Ovis aries: one gene and its partner. The protein of the gene in region 1 purifies or fractionates together with the protein of each later gene. This does not show direct contact. Links are inferred from orthologs where the notes say so. Each region holds a gene or a part of one and is shown on either strand. Other genes may lie near its edges.

What was found. The genes of interacting proteins can lie anywhere in the genome.
Region 2: the proteins of SLC30A4 (region 1) and STX8 purify together in Homo sapiens (co-immunoprecipitation; 3 studies listed by BioGRID and IntAct, with this or other methods). This does not show direct contact. The link is inferred for Ovis aries from reciprocal best matches to the Homo sapiens genes SLC30A4 and STX8.

What each region holds. Positions count from the first base shown.
Region 1 is NC_056060.1:63,085,722-63,089,374, forward strand, and holds part of SLC30A4 (probable proton-coupled zinc antiporter SLC30A4), read left to right. Parts: intron 1-1,950; exon of another isoform or gene 1,951-2,098; intron 2,099-2,209; 5' UTR 2,210-2,323; coding exon 2,324-2,714; intron 2,715-3,653. UniProt on the Homo sapiens protein: Probable proton-coupled zinc ion antiporter mediating zinc import from cytoplasm potentially into the endocytic compartment. Controls zinc deposition in milk.
Region 2 is NC_056064.1:28,533,540-28,537,192, forward strand, and holds part of STX8 (syntaxin-8), read right to left. Parts: intron 1,905-3,653; coding exon 1,763-1,904; intron 1-1,762. UniProt on the Homo sapiens protein: Vesicle trafficking protein that functions in the early secretory pathway, possibly by mediating retrograde transport from cis-Golgi membranes to the ER.

The DNA.
Region 1 (3,653 bases):
ACTGTAGTTCTATAGGAATATCGTGGGCATTCAAAGGTGAGTTGCACCTGAGACATGCAAGATTCTAAAATGTCATCTGGATCTTCAGAGGAAAATGATGTTTATATGACTTTTTATTGTATTTTCTGTAACTTAAAATGTGGTAATTCATATAGATTGTTGTTAAAATACATTTATAAACACTGGATTAATGGGAGTTTGCACTACAATTCAAGTCCAAGTAGAAGCTAGGGTCTTGATCTGTGAGTTCTCCTAACAGTGCTGTTGTTTTAATCTTATTTTAGTCTGAAACTCATTTGAGAATATGATGAAGGCTAACAGACTTACTCAAGAAAATTCATATACCCACAAAATTTTGCATGTAGTTTTAAGGCCTCCAAATCCCCTAAGACTCACCTGGAGAATCGCCAGAGAAGCAGAAGGTGGGGCTTATTGTCATTTCATTTTGTCATTAAAATTAGATCTAAATTAGAAGCTACTAATAAAAACTTAATTCTTTTTAAACCATGTTGTTAAATAGAATCAACAGCCAGTACAGATTCTTTTACAGTAAGTTTGCCACTTACAAACGAATTCCATTCTGGGAGCATGTCTGCAAGTCCAATTTGTTCCAACAAAGTTAGCCTAGGTACCTAACTAACACAATGGGCTCTATAGTACTGTACTGAAATAGGTTTATAATACTTCATAATACTTTTTACACAAATAATGCATAAAAACAAACACAAAAATAAACATTTTTAATCTCATAGTACCTTTAAAAGTACAGTAGTACAGTACAACAGCTGGCATACAGGGGTTGGCACTGAGTGAGGGGTTGGCACTGAGTGAGGAGTTGGCAAGAAGAGTTACTGACTGGAGGGAGAGGAGGTGGGAGCTGATAGTGCTGAAGGATTGTCAGCATCAGGAGATGGAGGGCAAATTTCACTCACACCTGACATTAATGGCACAGGTTCTGATTCCTTGCTGGATTCAAGTCTATCTACATTCTTGAAAAAAAAAAAAAAATCCAGTGATGTCTGGGTAGTACTATATACCAGCTACATCATGGCTGCTTTTAAACTTGCTTCCGGACATCTTGAGCTTAAAATAAAGATACTGTAGCACTATATATAGTATTGTACAGTAAAGTACACAGAAGCACAACCACTTCTAGAGCATGCACATATATGATAATGTATGCCAGACGCGTGAACTAACCTATGTGATTAGACGGCGGGAAAGCATGGAAAGCATGTTCGCATCTTTAAAAGTTCACATCTTTGACCGGTCACAACTTGAAGGTTGGTATGTAGGGGACTCACCGCACTATATATAGTTCCTGTGCTTGGGTTTAGTCCGTACTGTAAATACCTTGGCGGCAAAAGGAACCTGATAGGGAACACACAGATAATACATATTTGCTGATAAACAACAGTAAATATAAAGCAGGACACTGAACTGTTTACGACCACAAGCCTTGCCCTCTCCAAGCTGATCTGACTGTGCAGCAAACTTTGCTAACCTGCCAGACAGGCAGCAACTCTAATGGCAGAAAAGCTGCTCAATTTAGCAAGAAAGGGTTACATTTTCCTGTCGCCAAGCATCCGAAACCAAGATCTCAATCAAAGATTCTCTAGGCCGTCCTTCAGCGGAGCGAACTGCCTGCAGCAACGCCCAACCTCGGGTGGGCGGGACCGTAGAAATCTACCCACTTAGCCCGAGGATTCCAGCTCTCTCCGACCTCGCGGCCTCGAGAAGTGGAGAGCCGGGTGAGGGGCGGGCGACGCGGCGCGCGCCCCTGCCCTGCCCCGCCCCTCGTGTGAGCCTCTGCCCGGCGCGCCAGGCCTGCGTGTCCTCGCGCCCACCCCTCCCTGGCGCGGCTCGTCCGCGGCCGCTCCAGCGCACGCGCGCGGCTTCGCGCAGGGCGGGGAGAGGCGGCGGCCGCGGGCGCCCGGCCCCGAACCTGTCAGACTCGGGAACCCGGCCTGGAGCTGCGGGCGCTGCAGGCTCGAGGACCGCCCCGCTCCTTCGCGGCCCCGGGCCGAGATGCGCGAGCCGGCCCCGCGGAGCCGGCCGGGGCGGGGAGATGAGCGGCGGCCCGGCAGCGGCACCCCAGGTAGAGCGCTGCCCCCTTTCGGAGCTCCGGCGCCCCCCGCCGCCCCGGGCTTCGGAACTTGTGGGCTCTGTCGGGCTGCCTTTAATTTATAATGTGCTTCGTTTCCCACAGAATGAGGAGGGACGCGCCGCAGTGCCACTGGGAACTGGCTTTCGAGTGAAGTAGGAGTCGCCGGCCGCCCGCCTGCACCCAGCCGCTCGGCGCCGCGGCCGCTCAGCCAGTGCTATGGCCGGATCCGGCGTGTGGAAGCGCCTCAAATCAATGCTGCGGAAGGATGATGCGCCGCTGTTCTTAAATGACACCAGCGCCTTTGACTTCTCGGACGAGGTGGTCGACGAGGGGCTTTCTCGGTTTAACAAACTTCGAGTTGTGGTGGCCGACGATGGTTCCGAAGCCCCAGAAAGGCCTGCTAACGGGGCGCACACGGCCCTCCAGGCCGACGATGACTCCTTGCTGGACCAGGACTTACCCTTGGCCAACAGTCAGCTGAGTTTGAAGGCGGACCCCTGTGACAACTGCAGCAAGCAGAGAGAGTTGTTGAAGCAGAGAAAGGTGAAAACCAGATTGACCATTGCTGCCGTTCTTTACTTGCTTTTCATGATTGGAGAGCTTGTAGGTGAGTTGTGTTGCCAACTCACTTCCCACTTACCTTGCCTACTGCTTTGGGGTTTAAACTTGCTTTTTAGGAAGCTTGTTATTTATCAAGATACTGATCTGGTGATGTGCCGAGGCCTCACAAACTGCAGATCAGCCTAGGTACTAAAGTTATCTTTGCAGGCATGGGTGCATTTGGTGACTTTCCAAAGCTAACTTTTGACATTTTCTAGTTCTCTGAACACCATGTCATCTACTGTAAAGTTAAGGACATTTTCTTCATTATATATCATGTAACTTCCTGTTTCAGAAAAAAAAATCTCATAAAACACTAGGTTAATTTTTGCAACGTTTAAAATAGTAAATTATTCTAAAATTACTTAGAAAAATAACATTTTACTATGTGAAGGGACCTTACTGAACACCTGCTCCACCTTTTTTAAGAGTTCTGAGGGCACAGAGGCTAAATAGATTATGAAGACACTTAAGTAAGTGAAGATCTACCATCCCGTTGTCTTGATTTTTTTCCCTCTGCCATTGAATTTAGTGGTTGTTTACTATTTCCTTTTGTATTTATATCCAGGAAATTTGCATAGGTAAATACTACTAACTAACCTCAAAGTTTTTCATTTTAAGGAGGATCTGAAAGTCAGATGTCTTCCCCAGATTTTATGAATTTGGCTTTTTCACTTTTTAATTATTCAAGTAATGCAGTTTTACTATGAAATACATTCTCCATTTAGAGATTAATTTCAGAGTCACATAAGTATAACTGCTAACTTCTCTAAGTGATCATTGATAAAGTGACATTAAAGAAAGGAGACTATTCTCTTGTGTTCTCCTTTTTTATATTTTTCCACACCCTGGGGCTTCTGGGATCTTAGCTCCTGGACCAGGGACTGAACTTCTGAGGTAATCGGAACCACTGGACTGCCAGGGAATTCCCTCCTGTGTTCTCTTA
Region 2 (3,653 bases), on another chromosome or scaffold:
CGTAGGCACAGAGACCCTCACAGCGGGAATCCATTCACACCAGTCACCCTTGGAGACTGCTATTTATGCTAACGAAATTTATCCCACTCCATTGTATGTTTCTTGTCCGGAGCGCTCTGGGATCCCTTGTTTACGGCCTTCGCCCATATTGTGAGCAGGGGAATGGACAGGCCATTTGAGAGGGCAGGGGTGGCTAATGATGGGTCTGTTAGCTCTGCAGTCAGGCTCTCCTTTGTGAACCAAACCCAATTTGGGTGCATTTGCTTAAAAAAAAAAAACAAAAGCAAAACCCCATTTGGGGTTGAAGAAATGTTAGTTGTGTTCCATTCCTTTTAGTAGGGGTTAAAAAAAAAAAAAAACAGTAGAAGAAACTCAAAACTTTATAATATTTATTTATAATCCATCCTTTAGGTTGAAATATGCATCCAATTATCTCAGGTATGGGTGCACATGCCGCAGCTGTAGCGCCTTAAGATAGACTCTTAAAAAAAAAATTGGGGGCCTTTCATCACTACAGAGATGCTAATTTTTATCTCCAGGAAAGTAAGAGAAGCCCCTTCTGAAATGTTTTCTTTTGAGGCAGAACTTAAACGTATGCCACTGCTTTCATGAATCCTGTGAGCCAAATCCTTATAAATCCTTTGAGTTGACAGATCAATTATTCCTTCTAACAGCTAATGAACTAATAACCTTTGGAAATTTCTCCTTCCCTGGGTTTAAAGTAAAAAAAAAAAAAAATCTTTAAGGGGAAAAAATAATCAGTTAAAGACTACATAACAATAAAAACAAATTCATAATAATAGCTTTTTAAAGAAAGCTCTATTTTGTTTGAGAGCTATGATTTTTTAAATTAAAAATACATCAAATAATCTTGTGTTTTAGAAATATAATAAATTTTATTTTTAAAAATGCCTTAATCTCACATAGTGTCAAGAGAATTGACAAAAGGGTAGGAAAAAAACAGAAAAGGAGAAAGAGACAGTCAAGAGACATCAGACAGTCCAGAGACATCAATAAGCCAGGTGGGGTTAATAGACCCGGCTCTGTAGAAGGCACCGCCCGAGGTGGGCTCTCTGGGAACCAGGAGGGGGAAAGGACACACACATAAACACCGGAGAGAAAGGAGAAGGCAGAGGAAGCAGGAAGATACCCTGGTCATTAGGACTGTGAACACAGGAAGCCTATACGGAACATCGTGTAGACAGAAGGGGTCTTGGGGTGGTATGGGTAGAAGCTGGCAGGTAGCGCAAGCTGGACATTCAAGGGGTTGAACCCCAGGGGGACACTGAAGGCCAGAGCAAGTGGCAGAAGGGGAGCTGGAAGAGAGGGAATGCATGTGGGCCCTAGAGTGTGCGCTGATCCCAAGAATGAGATGTGCCTGCCTGGTGAGCAGGGCAGAGAGGCATCGACCCTATCTTATGACAGAAGGCCAAGGATTTTCATAGATGAGAAAACTGAAGCCCTGGGAAGTTGAGTAAACGACTTGCTCAAGGTCCTAGGGCATCAGTCTCACACACACACATACATACTTGTGTGCTAAGTTGCTCAGTCGTGTCCGACTCTTTGTGAGCCCCATGGACTGTAGCCCGCCAGGTTCCTCTGTCCATGGGGATTTTCCAGGCAAGAATGCTGAAGTAGGTTGCCATGCTCTCCTCCAGGGGATCTTCCCAACCCAGAGACTGAACCCAGGTCTCACGCATTGCAGGTGGAGTCTTTTTCCCACAACATTAACAATTCTGGAGAAGATGTCCCAAAAGCGTACCTTCCAGGGAGCATCACACAGCTCTTGCTCTGTAAGCTCCGGGTACGTGATGTGACATGGTGTAGACAGAGGGGAGCTTCGGGGTCAGAAGACGTAGCTTGGAATACACAGCTCCACTGTTCTCCAGCCCCATCTGCCCTATCTGTAAAATGGGGGGAATCATAATCACACCTCAAATCGTGGGCAGGAAACAGTGAAATAACACTGACCTGCTGGAATCCACTCACAAGACCTGGCGAGGGCCCCAGGACCCAACTATAAGCCCATGGCCCTGTTCCGGAAAAGCCACCTGAGTAGTGACACAGCGTCCCATGCTTAGAAGTCTTACACTGCCGCCATCATGACAGTCTTAATAATTTCTAAACAACGGGCCCTGCATTTTCATTTCTCACTGGACCTCACAAATTACATAGTTCGTCTTGGGTAATGCTCCGTGGCTCAAATGAGATGAGTCTTGGAGAAGACGTCCATCTTTGGCAAGCAACTCTCATGTGGGCGTCCCTGGTGGCTCAGATGGTAAAGAATCTGCCTGCAATGCAGGAGACTGGGGTCTGATCCCTGGGTCAGGAAGATCCCCTGGAGAATGGAATGGCTACCCATTCCAGTATTCTTGCCTGGAGAACCCCATGGACAGAGAAGCCTGCTGGCTATAGTACACGGCTGCCGCCTGCCAGGCTTCCCTATCCACAGGGTTGCAAAAGAATTGGATGCACCTAATGCATTTTTCCCATGTAAGCTGCAAGTCTGAAGTGGAAACAAGTTAGTTTCTCAGCTGCTCAGCATCTGAACCCTTTTTTTCCTCTTTAACAAGGGAGGAATTCTTAGCTATATGAGTCTTAGTAGGAGGCAAGACCAGAAGGGCCAAACACTGGCAACCCCCTGCCTCCCCACAAGCACCAGCACAAAGCCAGACAACAGTGGTTCTCTAGGGACATCAGAGGCAGCCCTCTCCTGGCTACAGCCTCTGCTGGTCAGCACCAGTGGGGTTAGCGGATGGTGGGCCCGGAGAGCATCCAGTAGTCATGGCAATAAGAAGTCCTATGAGACGGTTCTGTGATGGGGTTGTGGAGATGACCCAGCCACCTGTGGTTTTCTCCCCACGTTCTAGTTTGATTCTACAGCCTTCTCCATGAGTGATTTTTCAAACCACTCAATATCCTTCTAACACCTTTCTTCTGTACTTCAGTAATTGCCGCGGCCAGCACAAGCAAGAGTCGCACCTGCACAGGGAGAGAACGGAGCGTCCCCGCTAAGAAAAATAAGAGAGAGACAAAAGATGGGGTTGAGAGGATCAGCCCAAAATGGCTGATACCTTGCTTTATTGTACTGCAGTATATATAGGATAAAGTACGTGACTTATGACATTCACAAGGTTGTTTTTAATCTCAGGATACAATCACCAGTTGTGTACAGAGAATCACCAGACCCTTACCATTGTATACATAATAAGATAATCTATCTTCTAGGACATGTTGCAGGAACTGGACATCCTGGAGTCTTAAGGGCTATACAAATTCTTGAGGGTGGCGGGACAGGGAGCTTAGGAACATGTCCTAGGGCTCTGCATATATGCTGAGGAGCTCCCAAGACTTAACCCTTCACGGGCAGTCCCCCGCAAGTAATCAGGGATGCTTTCTGTTCATAGCCAAGACCTTGTTCTGATATAAAGCTGGACTGTGTTACGGAGCCTGATTCTCCTTCAGCTGACAGACAGCAAAGAAGTCCTCTGTCTCGAGGGAGAACCTGTTGGGCCATGAGCCCCTGGTGGTGACTGGAGTGCTGGTGCCTGCCCACGTGGAAGTGGACCTGGCAGGTCACATGGTCCACACTCCTTCTGAAAGTGGGACTCCGTCCAGAATGATTTGGGTCAAAATAAGATGCAGATAAAGAT